Canis lupus familiaris: one gene and its partners. The protein of the gene in region 2 interacts with the protein of the main gene of each other region in a biochemical or structural test. Links are inferred from orthologs where the notes say so. Each region holds a gene or a part of one and is shown on either strand. Other genes may lie near its edges. The genes, in order: LBR, CBX5 and CHAF1A.

Region 1 (6,478 bases), on a different chromosome or scaffold from region 2:
TGCTCTTTTTTTTAAAGATTTATTTATTTATTCATGAGAGACAGACAGAGAGAGACACACACACACACACACACAGAAAGAGAGAGGCAGAGACACAGGCAGAGGGAGAAGCAGGCTCCTCCCAGGGAGCTCAATGCAGAACTCAATCCTGGATCCCAGGATCATGACCTGAGCTGAAAGCAGGCACCCAACCGCTGAGCCATCCAGGCATCCAAGACTCTGCTCTTTAAGTGACTCTGACTTTATATATTCTGAAAATCCACACTTGCTACATGTGATTGATGAACATCTCTCTGAGAACAAACCCTGGAAATTCTCTACTCCCAAATATACACACTTTAAGTAGTTTTTGTAAGAAAAATGAGAGGAAAATACCAATTATTCCTTTATTGAGGAAGTAGCCTATGTATCAATCTGATTTTTCACAACACACCTCAGTCCACTAGCTAGAAATAAATAAGTATTGCTTTGTTTCTCTGATGTCAGAAGCAGCTGTTTTGAAAAATATTTTTGGTAATTTATAAGGTAAAATGTTAGCTCAGCTCATTCTAGTGATTTACAATCTTTTAATTTCATTTTGTTATGAGGCTTTTATAAACCTGACTTTGAAAATGCAACATGTGTGTTTAAGAGAATCTTTTGTCTCATAAACGGAAATGATCCAGGAAATGCGTATTTCAAGGGAAGGGCAGTGAAATCTTGGTTCTGGGCAGGGCAGATGAGAACAGAGTAGCACTGCTTGGCCATTAGGAATAAAGTCTATCTTGGGGCCCCCTGGACCTGGGATAGGTACCCATTTCTGGGTCATCTGCTGCAAAAAAAATGAGGCAGGGTTGATATTATCTTAAACGTTAGACAACCAGGGTCCATGGCTTTGCCAAAAATCAGGTTTTTTGACTTTGGAGTGCAATGTCCATTTTTGTAGCTCAGATCTCCAAGAAAACTCCACAACAATGAAGACAGTTTGATGTCAGGACTTGTTTTCAGGAAAGGCTCCGATAAAAGCTTTCACACTGGATGTGAATGACTGAGAAAGCTCAATTAGCTTTTTTTTTTTTTTAAAGTAGTAAACTGAGTGTTTTGTAGCTCATAACTGTTAGAAAATGAGAACTCTTGCGAGTGAAGCTGTGCCATCAACAGGAAAAGCCTGTTTATTATTATAATTTAACTGACAGAGTTTTTGACATTCACTTAAATTTACCAGTAAGTTAGGCTAACCTAGTAGTTGGGTTAAGAAGTACTTGAAGACCACACTGCAAAACGGGGAACTTCAATGGACTTCTTTAAACTCTCGACCTCAGAGTAAGGAAACCAACCAACCGATGATGATAACTTGAGGCACAAAAAGCTATAGGATCCATACCAGATTCCGAGTTATCGATCGCCGCTTTGGAGGCCAATTAACACCAGCCTTGTGGTAGCCGGGCGCACAAGGCAAGAGTTCTCTGTCGCCGGTCACATGTTAACGGCGTACTTTCTGGCACCTGCGGCCAGGACCCCCGGCCCCCTGGCTCCCCAGACCCCGCGGCACCCCTGCCCCTCGCTCGGGTCACTGCGCCCCCCGCCCCACCCCTGCCCTCGCTCGGGTCACTGCGCCCCCCGCCCCACCCCTGCCCTCGCTCCGGTCACTGCGCCCCCCGCCCCACCCCTGCCCACGCTCCGGTCACTGCGCCCCCCACCCGCTCGCGGCCCAGGCCGGGTCCCGCCGCCGGGACAAAGGAGCCGGAGCCCTGGAGGGGCCGTCGGGGCGGGCCGGCCGCAGCCGCCCTCGCGGTCGGGAGAGCTCAGCCTGCGAGTTGGCGGGAAGCACCTGCCGCCCCCGACAGTCGGCCCGGACTCGGCACCGCGCGAACTGACGGACTCCTGGGCAGGTAGCGATTATCTTTCTCCGGAGCGCGCGGGGCACGGCTGGGCGGGGCGGGGGCGCAGGGGCGGGGCGGGGGCGCGGCGCCTGGGCCGCCCAGATACGGCGGGCGGCGGGCGGCGGGCGGATGGAGCCCTCGGCCCGGCTCCGCGCCTGCCCCGCCCCCGCAGCCGCGCCACGCGCACGGCCAATGGGCGGCGCCGGGGACGATTCAAAAGGCCGGGCGGCCAATGGGAGCGCGGGGCGGGGCGGGGCGGGGCGGGGCGGGGCGGGCGGGGGCGCGCTCGGGCGCGCGGGTGCGGGTGCGGGTGCGCGCGGGGCGGGCGGCGTCGTGCGCGCGGAGCGGCGGGCGGGTGCTGCTGGGCGGGTGCTGCTGGGCGGGTGCTGCTGGGCGGGTGTCCCGGAGCCGTTCGCGTCCCGCCGGAGCCCGGCGCAGGTGAGCGTCCCCGCGCCCGCCGCCCAGCGCCGAGCGGCCTCCGGGGGCGGGGGCGGGAGGCGGGAGGCGGGAGGCGGGGGCGGGGGGGTGGGGGGCGGCGGGGGCGGGGACGCGCGGCCTGGGCTTTCCCGCGGGGGTCGGCGGGGCCGCGGCGGAAGTGGAGCGGAGGTGGAGATCGCCGGCGCCTCCCTCCATTTTGGGCGCGCGGCGGCGGCGTCGGCGGGAGGGCGGCGGGGGGGCCTGGAGCCTGCGTGCGGCCGCGGCGGGCCGGGCGGGGACGCGGGGGGAGGGGAGGGGGGCCCGGCCGGGGCCGGGGGAGGGGCGCGCGGGGCGGGGGCCGGGCCGGGGCCGGGCCGGGGCGGGGGCGGGGGATGCTCTGACGTCCGCGCTCGCCGTCTCCCGGCCCGCGGCTCTCACGCTCCGAACGCGGGTAGCGCGGCGGGCTGCGCGTGCTCGACCCTGTGTTTTCAGCGTCTTAAGGATCTTTACAAAGTCCTCGTCGCGACACCGTCCCACGGTCTCAAGGGGCCCCTCTACGGCCTGAGGTCCTTGGCGGCTGCGCGCACCTGCCGCACTAGCCCGCGCCGCGTGCCCCGTGCCCCGTGCCCCGTGTGCTGGTGGCGGGAGGACGGGCCCTGCTGCGGGGCAGGAAGACGCCGGGTGTGGACAGAGCACGGGCAGCTGCTCCAGCCGGTTTCCGAGAGCTGTCCGGGGAGGAGGGAGAAGAGTGAGCCTCCGGGGAGCGGGCCTCACCTTGGGGTGTTTGCATTACCTAGGGGGTTCGGTCAGCCTCCCCGGCCTGACCTGACGGCGGCCGGGGCTGTGGTGTTACCCTGGCCTCCTGCAGGGGGCAGGGGGCAGGGGGCAGGGGGCAGGGGGCAAGGCCAGGGTATGCCTAGTGGGCCGACCTTGGGCCCAGGTGTGCAAGGGAGGCAGTCAGACTTCTCCAAGTTCCCCTTTCTGCCCTATCTGGACTGGTTTGGAAAAGTGAGGGAAAGATGACCACAGACCGTGTAACACTGTGGTCTCTGATCAGCAGTGCTCTGTGGTGTTGATAAACAGTAACATATTGGAGCCCAAGTGGGTGAGGATTCCAGGGCTGACTGAGAAGTTAGCAAGCATGGGGCTTCACAGCCACAAGCCTGAGAAGGTGGTATTCAGTAAACACATTTTTTCTTTCCACCCTTGACTGATACATCCCTTCTAAGAGAAGCTTGTCTGTGTGTCTGCCCCTCATTAGAAGGATGTGTGATGGCAGTGAAGCTCGAGTGTCCAGACCTGGCCCATTTACTCCCGCAGGAGATCCTGTTAGAAGGTGGCCCCGCTGTCACAATGTGGGAGGATCTTGGGCAAAGTGGAGGTGCACATGATGCTGTGGTTTCATCTTTTGGGGTATTTGTTGATACCATAGTGGTCTCCTAAGGAAAGTGCCGGCTTGGGTTTTCTTTCTTGGCCACCATGTGAAACATCACTATGAAGTCCCAGTTCTTTGTTATCTTTTTAAAAAATTAAGCATAGTGACCTAACAGATATTCACCAGGTATCTTAATTTCTGTAACCCAAAATATTTATTTAATTAAGATTTTATTTATTTATTCATGAGAGGCACAGAGAGAGGCAGAGACATAGGCAGAGAGAAGCAGGCTCCCTGCAGGGGGAGCCCGATGCAGGACTCTCCCAGGACTCCAGGATCACGCAGTGAGCCAAAGGCAGATGCTCAACCACAAGGCTACCCAGGCACCCTAACCTAAAAGATTTACTTGAGTGTAATAGAAAGATGCCAATAAATCAGTGTTCAGAAAGGTGCAGTATCTGTTCCGAGGCCTTTTTAAAAGTTCTGAGGGACTGGATTTCAGATGTGTGGAGAGTTGTTTGAAACTTGAATGGCATCTTCATGTAGTCAGATATAGTTGTCTTCTTTAAACCCTGGTTGACCAGCATCAGAGAATCAGTACCAGTAACAGTGGTTTGATTTTAGGGGGTCCAGGGAGGAGGAGGGGCAAGAGAGAAGAGGGCACATTTCCTTCCTCTTTCTTAGTACTTGGAGGTTCTCGGACCTGAATGTTGAAACAGACAAGGTTTGCTGTTGTCACCTTCCTTTTTGTGCCCTTTCTGTGTGTCCCCAGGCATCCACTGCCTCCACTGGCGAGGTGCCCCTCCGGTGCCTCCTTAGCTAGGTGTGAGTCAGCCCCAATGCCTCTGGCTCCTCTCACCCTCGCCCACACCCCTTCATTAGCCTACGATGATGCTATCTCAGGTGGGTGCGGGCAGGGCCCCTTCTACACTGGTGGGTAATGGATGGACACCCTCTAATCACTGGCTGAGTGGCTGTGTTTGCTTTCATCTCCCAGCCTCCCTACTATCTCTAAACAAGTGCAGTTTGTGAAGTATTTTCTCAGGCAATTAACAGTGAAGAAATGTGCTTATGAAAGGTTTCCCCCTGGAGGGGTGGGGTAATGCAGCTTTGTCCTTTCTTAACTCCAGAGCTTCTGGGGGGGCCCACACGGCAGGCGTTGTACAGTCGGCGGCTCTGGACAGGAGAAGAGTGAGGAGGAATGCTTAGTGCCCAGACGGCCGATCAGGTTGTTGAGCTGGCGACAGGAAGGTCATTGGGGGAGCATTTCTCTGCAGGACTGTCTGCTGCTTAGACGAGGCCAGCCGCTGGTTCAGCCGCCGGTGCGGAGAGTTGGAGGCACTCGGTGTTGTCACGTGGAAGTGGGAATCTGTAACTCCGTGGACGGGGAAACCGTGCGGCCTGAGAGCTGGAAGCGCCCAGCAACCAGTTGATATTGGAGGAGGGTGGCCAGCAGGCCCCCTGTAAGTGGCAATTCCTGCGGATCATGCGTGGTTTCTCAGAGTGTGGTGGAAAGGCGGCTCTGGGGGCCGTGTGCAAAAGAATGTTAAAATGAGGGTGGGTGTCTGCTGCAGCCCTGAGAGCTGCACCAGGATGAAGGCCGGGTACCCGCAGACTTGTTTGGTAGAATTTGTATTTTAGCTGTAAGACTTAAAAACTTTATTTAAGCACCCCCAGTTTGCTCTTCATTATGAGTTTGGAATTATTTTTCTCCTTGTTGGTGGGTTGTAGTAACGTTAATTGTATATCCTTGATTTTCCCAGATGGTTGGTTTCTTATTAGAGTTTATTTGAAGTAAGCTCTACGCCCAATGTGAGGCTTGAACTCACAACCCAGAGATGAGGAGTTGCACGCTCTACCATCTGAGCCCGCCAAGCGCCCCCATATGCGAATTTATAAATGAAAAAATGGACCTAATTGTTGACTGTGTCTTGTTGAACAGCAAGATGTCTGGTCACTTGGGTGATAGATTTTGCAGAGTGCAAACCACCTGGTGCCTTTATGTCCTGCTGCATTTTCATATCACTGGCAGGCGACATGGTGGCAACATCATCCTGTGTAAAGTGACCCCAGAAGGTTTATGTCCTGGCAGAAAGAACAGCCTCTGTGTATCCCAACCCTTGCCATTTCCTGCTGCCAATTTTTATGTCCTTGAAAAAAACAGTTAACAGCTTTACACTATATTCTCACCTTTGGACAAAGGGGTTGGACGTCCCCTTCTCCCCCTACCCCTGCCCAGAGGTGTTTCTGGTCCAAAAATGTTGGCCAGTTGGAAAGTTGTTTTAGTGTTTATTCTGTGAAAAAAGACACATGTAAGTGCGTATGCAGCAACTCCTTGTTTTTTCTTTTCAACCAGACTGAGTCCTGAAGATGCCGAGTAGGAAATTCGCTGATGGCGAGGTGGTGAGAGGTCGGTGGCCGGGGAGTTCGCTTTACTACGAAGTGGAAATTCTGAGCCATGACAGCCACTCGCAGCTCTACACCGTACAGTACAAAGATGGCACTGAGCTTGAGCTGAAGGAGAATGATATCAAGGTCGGTGCCCCTGTGGTCAGCCAGTCTGCTCAGAGGAAGGGGACATAACCAATGGGGGGCTTGTTGGCATAGAGCAGTCGCCTCTGGCTCTGTTTGGAGGCGCTGGGATAAATGCCTTTGGTGAGGGAAGTTTGGTGGGTGGTGTTGGCGCACACTGGGGTGGGGCGGAACTGGGTCTCAGGGAGACACCTTTGTGGGCACTGAGGCCAGATGGGGAAGCCCTGGGTGATGGAGGTCACACTCTGGCCAAAGGCTTGGGGTGGGGGTGAGGACCAGCCAAGGGTTCAAT
Region 2 (5,912 bases):
AGATTCTCTTGAGCTCATCTGTATTTAATCCCAAACCCAACAAACCACTGGTCTGCTTTTTTCTCTAAATGTGTCTTTCTTACATTTCATATAAATGGAATCAGACAATATATGGTCTTTTGCATCTGGTTTTTAGCATGTTATTTTTGAGATTCTTTCATGTTGTGACATGTATTAATTAGTATTGTGCTCCCTTTTTTGCTGAATAGTATTCTCCTGTATAGATACACCACATTTATTCATCCATTCACAAGTTGATGGGCATTTGAATTGTTTTCTGTCTTTAGCTATTAAAATGCTGCTATAAGTACTTGTGTGCAAGTTTCTTTGTGGATATGTATTTTTTTCATTTCTCTTAGATAGATTCCTAAGATCAAATTTGTTCTCTCTTAAGTGTAAGGCTTATTTCTTTTTGCCTACTTGTCTTCTTTGAAAGAAAGCACTGGATTTTTCCCCCCTCATTCTTTTCCTCCCCCCCCCCCCCATTCTTTGTGCCCAGGGAGCACAATACTTGGGAACCCGAGAAAAATTTGGATTGTCCTGAGCTAATTTCTGAGTTTATGAAAAAGTATAAGAAGATGAAGGAGGGTGAAAATAACAAACCCAGGGAGAAATCAGAAAGTAACAAGAGGAAATCCAATTTCTCGAACAATGCTGATGATATCAAATCCAAAAAAAAGAGAGAGGTAAGCTTCTTTTCCCCTTTTTCCCACAAACATTTGTTTTGCCTCTTCCCCACCTCCCCAACCTCCTAAGCAATATCTTGGTGGTTTCTGTTCTAAGGGTGGCTTGCAAGGTAAATTGTTGAACAAAAGAGCTTCCAAGGAGGTACGTTGATTAACTGCAGCTCCCTCTCCTGGCTGATTGAGAAACATACTGTATATTCCACTGAATTGTAGTAGAGTGGCAAAATTAAATCCCTGTAAAACAGGTAACCACTTCCTGTCTTCTCCATAATAAATAGGCAAAGTTATCTTAGTGAGGGAGGGACTTGGTGAAGTTTTTAAGTGTAGAAAAGGGGCTTTAAAGTGTTTACTAATGGGACGCCTGGGTGGCTCAGCGGTTGAGCGTCTGCTTTTGGTCCAGGGCATGATCCTGGAATCCTGGGATCGAGTCCCACATTGGGCTCTCTGCAGGGAGCCTGCTTCTCCCTCTGCCTGTGTCTCTGCCTCTCTCTCTCTGTGTCTCATGAATAAATAAATACAATCTTTTTTAAATAAAAGTAAAAAATAAAATATTTACTAATTTTTTTTCTAATTTTTTTGTTTCAAAGATAGCACTTATTTTTAAACTTTAAAATTCTTTTTTAAATTGAAGTGAAATTCACATAGCATGCAATAAACCATTTCATTTTATTATTAAGGATTTATTTGAGAGAGAATGAGCACGTATGCATACATTGTTGGAGAAGGGCAGAGGGAGAAGGGAGAGAATCACAAGCAGACTCCGCTGAACAGGGAGCCTGACCTGGGGCTTGATCTCAAGACCCTGAGATCACAACCTGAGCTGAAACCAAGATGCTCAACTGACTGCGCCTAGACGCAATTAACCATTTTAAGGTGTACAGTTCAGTGGCATGTATATTCTCTTTTGAGTCTATTATTTCTACATACTCCAAATAATTTTCATCTTTTTTTTTTTTAGTTCAGTTTATTTTTTTTAAGATTTTATTTATTTATTCATGAGAGGCAGAAAGAGAGGCAGAGACATAGGCAGAGGGAGAAGCAGGCTCCCTACGGGGAACCTGATGTGGGACTTGATCCCTAGACCCAGGATCATGCCCTGAGCTGAAGGCAGATGCTCAACTGCTAAGCCACCCAGGCATCCCTATTGTTAAGTTTAAAACGTGTGTTTATGAAAGTTTGGTTTGATTTAGTTACTTTAATTCTTCTGATCTTTAGCTCTCAATCACTAGCATAAGCCCTGTTCCTGCTTCTCTTTTTTTCATGTGTATATTTTCCATCTGTACACACACACAGACACACATATTACCCACCCCCCCAGCTTCCAATCCTTTCATTTATTTCAAGGTTATGAAGCCTTTTGTGATGAAGGATGTATCATACCCTTAACATTTAATAAAATAAAAGCATAAGTCCACTTCAGAATTTTCTAGTGTCCCTACCATAAGCATCTCTATTTATCTTCATTCTACTTGATACCCATCTTTCTAGAACATTAGTTCTCAGCCCTAGCTGTACATTAGAATCGCTAGGGGTGGGTGAGGGGCTTAAAAAAAAAAAAAAAAAAAAAAGACCAAGTACCCAAGATACACCTCAGACTAGTTAAATTCAGACTTCTCTGGGTTGGACCCTAGACATCAGTATTTTAAAAGACTTACACAAGTGATAGAGAAAATGGGAGATCAGCTTTCCAAAAAGAATTGAAATAAGAGTGAAAGATTGGAGGCTAAAAGTGAAAGTGCACTCTAGGTTTGTGTCTATCTCTTTATTTGCTTCCCTGGTTAATTTTATTTTTTGCAACCATATTTTTAAAACTACTTTGTTTTGGTGAGGTATGTATATCATTATGATATACTGTACTGATAAGGAATTTGAGAATGCCTTCTCTTCTCTAAGGAGCTAAGACCTGGTTTGCTCTTTCTTTTTTATTAGTCCTTTGTATTCTGGCTTTTGTTGTTTGATTCATTTTCTAGCTAAGTAAAGAGACCAAAAAACAGCACAGCAGAAGACTTGGGACTAGCCATTTGTGACATACGTTGTGTATTTCCTCAACCTAGGGTTTCTCTCCTTTCAAAAAGGAGCAGTCTGGCTTAGACCTACTGGCCGGCATAGAGAGTTTCTTTCCTGGGCCAGGTTCTGATGCTGCTGACCTTGAAAACAACCCCCACACGTCCCTTGTAATGTTCATCTAGGGTCCCTGACAGCATTCTCAGCAGTGCTGGCGGCTGTCAGGTAGGCAGCCAGGAAGATAGGTGATTGTATGTTTTAAAGGTACAGGAGGGGATTGCGTTTCTTTCTTTAGACCACTGCAGAAGAAATTTGTTAGTCGGCATTATGCCTGATTTAAGATTACTGCCTGTGTGATGATTTTAGCATTTTCCTCGCCTCGGCTCCTTTTCAGCAGCTTGAACATTTTTCTTCCCTTCCCTCTCTATGTGGCAAACTGTTTTCAGCCGCCAGCTATGATTTACAACTCAGTTTGTGTGCCAGCATTCCAGCTGTGAGCAGCTGTGTGCACATCTGGGAACCTCCTCCCCTTAAGCGCCCCCAAAAGAGGCAGTGTTTTTAAGTCAGTATCTCCCCTGATCCGTGCATGGAATTTCCTTCCCAGTGTTGGTTCTGGTATCTTTGGGGACCACCTGGATCCTGAATACTTTGTATCTCTCTCTCTCAAAAAAAAAGGGCAGAGTAAATGTCAGATCAAAGAGATTTTATTATGAAAATCGGACATCAGAGATCTAGTTCATTTGGGCAGTCTTTTTAAATCTTTTTTATGTTACCACTAGATAAGCTTGCATTATCTTCCATAATAAGGTTTTTAAAATTACCTGGTTTGTCTAAAATTTCACTGTTTTGCTCTCATCAGTGCCATCACACCTGAATAGGACTCTGTGCTCCTTGTCTTGATTGCATGATTGCATTTTGACCAAGTTTGAATAATCTAGAAAATTACTGGTTTGTTTTAAATCACTCTCCAGTTCTGTTTTCTAGTGCTAACAGCTCATGCATATCAGGAGGGGTTAGGCACAGACCAGGGCCTCTTCTCCAAGTGTGTGGGTATTGTGCAGTATGTGAGCTCTGAAAGAGATTTGCTATTTTATGGTACTGCCTTGAATCATTCTTATCTCTGTTCTTTCATAAATATAAACGACTGTGAAAAATATTAAAAATACTGGTCAGTGTTAAGGTAGACTAAATGTCTAAAAAAATTAAGATGGAGAAGCGGTACGTTTGAGTTTATAAAATGAAAAAGGGTTTAGTTCGGGTAAGCATGGACTTGTTTATCATCTCGGAAGCAACAATTGAGAAGTAGTCAATTCATAATATCAAGGAGATTAGATTAGAAGGTTAGATGAGTTCCTAGGTGATGCCTCCAGAATATCTTAAGGGATATGAAAGAGTTTTAGGGGCTGCTTGTAATCCTGTGAAAGTGTAGTAGAAGGACAACTGCATCTAACAAAAATACTTCTTGGCGTCATTGTCACTGGCTGGCCCAGTATTGTATTTCTTAAGTTCTAAGAATTCTTTGAATTTGTGACAAAAATGAACTTAGGTTGGGCTTTGTTGAGCTGTGAAACTTTTTTTTTTTTAACTCTTCTCCAGACTGTAACCTTTTCTTTATCTTCTATTTATAGCAGAGCAATGATATCGCTCGGGGCTTTGAGAGAGGACTGGAACCAGAAAAGATCATTGGGGCGACAGATTCCTGTGGTGATTTAATGTTCCTAATGAAATGGTGAGAGAGATTGGGCTTCACTGTATAGTTGTGTTTCTTTGCCAGTGGCTTGAATTTGTATAGAAGATAGGGAAGGAAGGCAGAGTATATCCCGACTAAGAATTTTGATTGTCAAGAATCTTTGGTTTATATCACCCATTAGTATTAATGGAAATTATGGTTGGGAGTGGATTTAAGACATTCTCAAGCCTTGGTATTAAGCCAAATTATTTTAGCCCAAATACCTAAGGTAGCTTTGAGGTAGGAAACGTATAGACATGACCTAACCATTTATTTACACAGTTCTGAATCATTTACCGTTAGACCATGAGCCTGTGGCCATGAGATAGGAGTTGAGTGAGGCTTTCTGGCATCACTAAGGATCAAAACAACTGAATAATGTCTAAAAGCGAAAAATCATCTCAACAGAGAGCATTTACTAATACTAGCCAAAGCGTAAATAAGCGTAAGTTATTTCATCCGGTGGAGGGAGTGTCTCTTAGAGGAAAGTGTAGTTACTTCCCCTCAATTTGGTTTCGTAAAGACAGGGTGATTTATGGTGTGGCCCTCACTACCTCTCTGTTTCCAGTGTTCTGGGCTTGTGATTTAAGTTTGGTTTCTAAAGAGAGGCTTCATGCTGCATTGCCACTGAGGAAGCTTATTTACCTTGAAGTTGTAGAATCAAAAGGTTTAATATTTTATCTGATCGAAATTTTGCTGGTAAATTACCCAGAAGCCTAGATTTGAAGAATCATTATACTCTGTCAGAAGTAAGGAACTGTATTGACTATTTTCCCCCACTCAGCCATATGTGTTGCATATGATTTATAATCATACATTAACTAGCTTTTTTTTCCACCACAGTCCAAATTTGAGTGTCTGCTCTGAGCTGTGTGTTTTCCCCTCCTTTCCTCACCCATAATACTTTCTCCATTTGGAATGCTGGTTAAGGGACTTGCTAGATTTTTATTTATGTATGTATGTATGTATGTTTTATTTATTCACAAGAGACACAGGGAGAGGCAGAGACGCAGGCAGAGGGAGAAGCAGGCTCCATGCAGGGAGCCCGATGTGGGACTCGATCCCAGGACTCTGGGATCACTCCCTGGACTGAAGGCAGGCGCTAAACCACTGAGCCACCCAGGGCTAGAATTTTATTTATACACGTTGGTAGAGCTCTTGTAACTTGGACAATTGAAATTTGCAGCTAATTCCTACATTTCATTTTAGTGACTGGATTTTACATTCTCTTATTGTTCCTTATATAAGTACTATTGCAGACTTAAATTTCTGTTTTCTTACTATTCTAGTCCATAGTTCTCACCAAAAGGATAGTGAGTGTTTAAAAGGCCACAAGATGAGAAAGGTTAACCCTTTCACTGAGATGATCCAGAAACTGTATTGATCATTCTGTGCATAATCAATAGGACTGAATGTAGATTTGATCATGTTCACTCAATACATATAAATCAAAATTATAGGAGCAAAATTTATATAACTTCATTTTCAGCCTT
Region 3 (5,912 bases), on a different chromosome or scaffold from region 2:
GCCTCCGTGGGTTTCGTTAAAGCAGCCAAAAGTTTCTCAGAACAGAGGGTAGGATATTCCCTAGAGACAAGGACATAGCCCTATGCCCAGACGGAAAGTGGAGTTGCCAGGCTCCTGATGTGGGGAAATCCATTTCTTTTCTTTATTTTTTTAAGATTTTACTTATTTATTCATTAGAGACCCACAGAGAAAGAGGCAGAGACACAGGCAGAAGAAGCAGGCTCCCTGCGGGGATCCTGATGCAGGACTCCATCCTGGGGCTCCAGGATCACGCCCTGGGCGGAAGGCAGGCACTCAACCACTGAACCACCCAGGCATCCCATGGGAAATCCATTTCTGATGGAAATAGTCCTTGAAAATTACCTGGTGCTATGGCAGAGGATGAGCCCCCCGTGTCTGGCAGGCGAGCATTTGAGTAGGAACTCAAGCTTATGTAATAACACAGTGCCTCAAGCCATGTACCAGTTGTTGGGAATGACAAACTGATGTAAAGATAAAAGCAAATTCATTTTTCCCCCCTGACAACAGGTTCTAGGTTCCTGTCTCACTCTGATCTTCTATTTCAGAGGAAATAAGATCAACCTTATAATCTGATCTGGTTGGGTAGCGGGATGTGGGAAGAAAAATGCTCTTGCTTTAAAGATACAGAAGCAAAACCTACAGGTGTTTTTGTTTCTTTATTTTACCACGGTTTTAAGATTAGGTAGCCCAGAGCTTCTTATGTCATTGTTTCTCATTAGGTAAAAAGATAAACTCCACCCCATGTTTAAAGATGGTATTTTGAGCGAATCTTATTTTGAATGGCCCTGAGGTCTTGGGACAAATGGCCAGTGGACATCACTGTTCTAGTGGCGGGCAGTGACAGGTGCTACAGGGTGGCCCGTGTGGGAGGGTGCTGGCCAGTGGGGGGGTCCTGGGCGGGCCACCTCTCTGCTCCCTCCAGCTGCCTGTGGGCCCTCCTGGGAGGCACAGGGGCACAGCTGTGGGACCATCTCTTGGCTTCAGGATAAGGAACGTTTAGGCAAGCAGCTCAAGTTACGGGCCGAGAAAGAAGAAAAGGAGAAGCTGAAGGAGGAGGCCAAGCGGGCCAAAGAAGAAGCCAAGAAGAAGAAGGAGGAAGAGAAGGAGCTGAAGGAAAAGGAGAGGCGCGAGAAAAGGGAGAAGGATGAAAAGGAGAAGGCAGAGAAGCAGCGGCTCAAGGAGGAGAGGCGCAAGGAGCGGCAGGAGGCGCTAGAGTGCGTGTGCCCTTGGAAGGTGGGGGTGGGCAGGGAGGTGGTGCGGGGGGGGGGGGGGGGGGGGCAGGGAAGCAGGAGTACCTCCACCCCCTCCCCCCAGCACACAAGCATATCCTCTCCCCACCTCCACCCCCCCACACACACACCACACACACACACACCCCTGCCAGGGACCTATGAGCCACACCTGGGGCTAAAGCCGAATTTCCTGTCTCCCAGGGCAAAGCTGGAGGAGAAGAGGAAAAAAGAAGAGGAAAAACGGTTACGGGAAGAAGAGAAGGTAGACTGTTCTCCCAAACGGCTGCTGGTGTTCCCTCCGTCTGGGGAAGCCAGGTGGCCCCCGCCGAGACTGGCTGCATGTTGATGGGTTTTGAGAGCTCATATCAAAAGAATGCTTTCAGCTTAAAAGTGCTGGGGCTCCTGTTCTAGAGGCCACTGTCCCTCTTCATTTCTTCATGCTCATCTCCTTTTCTGTTGCAGCGCATTAAAGCAGAGAAGGCTGAAATCACGAGGTTTTTTCAGAAGCCAAAGACCCCACAGGCTCCCAAGGTGAGCTTCTGGCTTCCTCTGGCTTGGCTTTCTCTCTCGGTCATGTTCTTCCTTTTGAAAAGTATAAGGGTATTTTCTGACCAGGTAGCTCCCCTTTCATCAAGAGAGGGCCTCTGCTTACAAGGGAGCTTTTATTTCTGGTAGAGTCTGAAGACTCAATATTTTGTTATTTGTTATGTCTTTGAAAAGGCTAAAAGTGGCATGTTTGCTAAAACTGCTAAGCATTAAAAAAATATATATATAAAACTGCTAAGCGTTAAGTTGCTTTATGAACAGTTTTGCATTAGGAGCTATGTGGAAAGGTGTCATCGAAGACCTAGTCCTTACCTTCAGAGAACTGAGGCTCAGGATGGGAGGCAAGATTAAGCATAAGTCAGCAGTCTAGAATGCAGCCCAGGATTCTGCTTCCCTGTCCTGGTGTTTGTCACCCTGTAAGCAGCACCTGCTTCTGGAAACCCCAGACTTCCTTCCCTGCCCCTCGGTGCTCCAGAGGTAACCCATGCAGTGGTGTCACCTAGAGCTTTGACTACATTCACATCCCTCCATATATATTTGTTTATATACATAATGATTCATGAGTTTGTTATGTCCCTATTTTGTTTACATAGCTGTATCTTGGATTCTTGCCATGCTGGCTCATTTGGGTCAGCTTTGTTCTCTCTTGCCACTTAACATTTCGTAGTGTGGATGTTGTCACAGTTTGTATGTCCATTGCAGTATCAATGCCCCATCAGTGGCACGGTGAGTGTCACTGACCCTCCTCTGCATATATGCCTTTCTTTAGGACAGCCACCGGGAAGCGGGCTTGGCCCGCAGTCCAAGGATACACACTCACAGAATCACTAATTGCGTTAGTTCCTATCTGGGCACCCTCCCAGTGGGAAGTGCTAATGTCCATGCTGGGCATCATGGGGAAATATGCTCTTCTCTCCTGCACTAGCACTGAATGGAACATGCTTTCTTTTAACCTCACCAATCTAGTTGGCAAAAAAAAAAAAAAAAAAAATTCTTATTTCATTTTACATTTTTCCTTGATTCCACTTGGACATCTTTTTGTGTGTGTTTGCCATTTTATTTATTTATTTTTTTAAGATTTTATTTATTCACGAGAGATACAGAAGGCGGAGACATAGGCAGAGGGAGAAGCAGACTCCTCAGGAGCCCAATGTGGGACTTGATCCTGGAACTCCAGGATCACACCCTGAGCCAAAGGCAGACGCTCAACCACAGAACCACCCAGGCATCCTGCCACTTTATTTCTTCTCTGTCTTGCCAATTCCTATTTTTTACTTATTTTTCTATAGGATTGGCTTTTCCTCTGAACTCTAGGAGTTATTTTTACAGCCAGGATTTTCTTTTTTATTCATTTATTTGGAGAGGGGGGAAGAGAAAACAGGGAGGAGCAGACTCCCTATTGAGCAAGGCACCTGATACAGGACTCTCTCTCAGGACCCTGGGATCATGACCTGAGCTGAAGGCACATGCTTCACCAACTGAGCCACCCACAGCCAGGATTTTCATTCTTGGTGACACATGCTATAGATACTCCCTTTCAGTCTGCTACTCGCTTTCTAACCTGTTTATTGTGTCTTTTGTCCTTCAGAAATTTTATGAGTTTTTTGTTGGTTTTGTAACATTTTATTTATTTATTCATGAGAAACAGAGAGAGGGAGGCAGAGACACAGGCAGAAGGAGAAGCAGGCTCCATGCAGGGAGCCTGACGTGGGACTCGATCCTGGGTCTCCAGGATCACACCCCAGGCCGAAGGCAGCGCTAAACCGCTGAGCCACCCAGGCTGCCCAAAATTTTATGTTTTAATGTCAACATTTTTAAATTTTTTATGGCAGTGGGCTTGTGGTTACAAAGCCTTGTTTACCCTGTAGCCATTGACGATACATTCTCTTTCTTAGTTTTTTTGTGGTTTTTTTTTTTTACTGTTTGTTCTAGTTCATCTGTTTTTAAAGATTTTAAGTCACCTCTACACCCAACGTGAGGTTCAGACTCACAACCCCAAGATAAAGGGTCGTATGCTCTACCAACTGAGCCAGCCAGTCCCCTTTGTTCCTTTTTTTTTTTTTTTTTTAAGATTTACTTATTTATTCATGATAGAGAGAGAGAAAGAGAGGCAGATACAGGAGGAGGGAGAAGCAGGCTCCATGCCGGGAGCCCGATGTGGGACTCGATCCCGGGACTCCAGGATCGCTCCCTGGGCCAAAGGCAGGTGCCAAACTACTGAGCCACCCAGGGATCCCCCCCGCTTTGTTTTTTTATGTATAGTTTCTTAGCCAGAGTTCCTGGTCATATGGGCTTGGCCCTAACTCTGTTAGGATGGATGCCTGACATCCCAGCACCCGTTTATTAGTGAGGTGGTTCTTGGCTTTGGCTCTGTGTTGGGAATCCCCAGGGAGCTTTACAAAAATAGGGAGCCTGGATCCCATCCCTGGTGTGGGCATTGAGGTTTTCAGCAGCCTCCAGATGTCCTGCTGTGTGGCCATGGTGAAGGCTGTTGCTATAGTGCTCTATCCTCAATGGGGTCGGAGGCTGGCTTTCCTATACTGAGCTTTATAGATCTAGGCTCTCCTCCTGACTCCCCAAGTCCTGCTGTGCTCCCAGCTTTGGGATCCACTGACAGACATGGGAGATGCTGAAGCAACTCTTGATGGGCAAACTAAACCCACCAGAATATGTGGCGGTTAATTCTTAGGGAACAGGCACCGACCTGTCAGGTTCATGTGTCCGTTTTCAGTGTTGAGATGGGCTTGGGTTGTAAGTCATCTTGTCAAGGTTTGGCTTTGGATAAGCGGTCAGTCCCCGGGGTCTCAGTTCCCTCACCTGGGAATTCAGGTTCTATTGCAGCCCACCCCCTTCTTTTTAAAAAGCCATGTTTTTTGAGGTATAATTTACGTAAAATTCTCTCGTTTGCTGAGTTCTGATAATGGACTCCACAGCACCCCCGTGCTCCACCATCCCATACTCAAGGTCTAGAGTATTTCTGGCACCTCACTTGGCTCCCTGTAGTTTTGCCTTTTCCAGAAACTAGTATAAATGACATCACGGAGGGTGTAGCCTTTTGTGTGTCTCCTGAGACTTAGCAACCTGGATGAATGTGAAAAGCAATGTGCACATGCCATTGTGTCCAGCATCTCACACCCTCATGGCTGCTGAGTGGTGGGCATCCCCTCTCATAAGCATGCTATCACATCCTCTTCTCCATTTCAGACCCTGGCTGGCTCTTGTGGGAAGTTTGCCCCTTTTGAAATTAAAGAGCACATGGTTCTCGCCCCTCGGTTTCGGACTGTCTTTGACCAAGACCTCTGTGATCAGTTGGACCAGCTCCTCCAGCAACAGAGTGGCGAATTCTCCTTCCTGAAAGATCTGAAAGGCCGTCAGCCCCTCAGGTCCGGACCCACCGTGGTTTCAAATCGAAACACGAATATTTATAACAGGTTAGTGGGTGGGGAGACAGCCTTTTGCCTGTTGGTGAAATCAGAGCGCAGTTGGAAAGTCCTGGAGGGCCCAAGGCAGAGTTCTGGGTTTAGGCCCGCTGCTGGCTCATCGTGGCCAAGGGCTAGTTGTCTTCCATCCTGGACCTAAGGCCTGAACCTTCAGACCTTGCTTTTTTGGCCTCCCCTGAGCTTCTGAAGTCTCATGTGCAGTGGCTTTGCCAAAAGCCACTGCTATGGAGTGCAGACTGCTTGGCTTGGCCTCCTGGTCTCTCAGAGGGGGGATCTTATTTCCATGCTGGCCTCCTGGGAAGGACATTTCACCGTTCTCTTTGATCTGCTTACTCTCCACGACCCCACTTCTGTAAATGCTGTGAGCCAGCAACTTGGCAGTTTTGTTTCTCCTTCCTCCTTGCTCTGTGTCCCTGGAATAAATGTCCCTTAGCTTTCTTGGGAGCAGGTGGTTGGTTACCCATCATGGTAAAATGTTGATAGCCTATTTTCTTGGGAAGCCTGGGTGGTCAGCGGGTGGGTTGTAGAACAGGCACATTATTGGGTTTCCTCCTCAGTGATGTGGTGATCGTGGAGAGCGGCAAGGTCGAGGGTGTTCCTGAGAGGAAGAAGTTTGGCAGGATGAAGCTCCTACAGTTTTCTGAGAATCATCGACCAGCGTACTGGGGAACGT

What was found.
Region 1: the proteins of CBX5 (region 2) and LBR form a complex in vitro, tested with the Homo sapiens proteins (2 studies listed by BioGRID, with this or other methods). The link is inferred for Canis lupus familiaris from reciprocal best matches to the Homo sapiens genes CBX5 and LBR.
Region 3: the proteins of CBX5 (region 2) and CHAF1A form a complex in vitro, tested with the Homo sapiens proteins (2 studies listed by BioGRID). The link is inferred for Canis lupus familiaris from reciprocal best matches to the Homo sapiens genes CBX5 and CHAF1A.

What each region holds. Positions count from the first base shown.
Region 1 is NC_049228.1:39,237,309-39,243,786, forward strand, and holds the start of LBR (delta(14)-sterol reductase LBR), read left to right. Parts: upstream 1-2,183; 5' UTR 2,184-2,300; intron 2,301-2,811; exon of another isoform or gene 2,812-3,027; intron 3,028-4,931; exon of another isoform or gene 4,932-5,117; intron 5,118-6,010; 5' UTR 6,011-6,024; coding exon 6,025-6,189; intron 6,190-6,478. UniProt on the Homo sapiens protein: Catalyzes the reduction of the C14-unsaturated bond of lanosterol, as part of the metabolic pathway leading to cholesterol biosynthesis.
Region 2 is NC_049248.1:45,610,054-45,615,965, reverse strand, and holds part of CBX5 (chromobox protein homolog 5), read left to right. Parts: intron 1-499; coding exon 500-686; intron 687-4,318; coding exon 4,319-4,419; intron 4,420-5,912. UniProt on the Homo sapiens protein: Component of heterochromatin that recognizes and binds histone H3 tails methylated at 'Lys-9' (H3K9me), leading to epigenetic repression. In contrast, it is excluded from chromatin when 'Tyr-41' of histone H3 is phosphorylated (H3Y41ph).
Region 3 is NC_049241.1:55,657,680-55,663,591, reverse strand, and holds part of CHAF1A (chromatin assembly factor 1 subunit A), read left to right. Parts: intron 1-1,005; coding exon 1,006-1,235; intron 1,236-1,454; coding exon 1,455-1,515; intron 1,516-1,715; coding exon 1,716-1,784; intron 1,785-5,003; coding exon 5,004-5,230; intron 5,231-5,796; coding exon 5,797-5,912. UniProt on the Homo sapiens protein: Acts as a component of the histone chaperone complex chromatin assembly factor 1 (CAF-1), which assembles histone octamers onto DNA during replication and repair.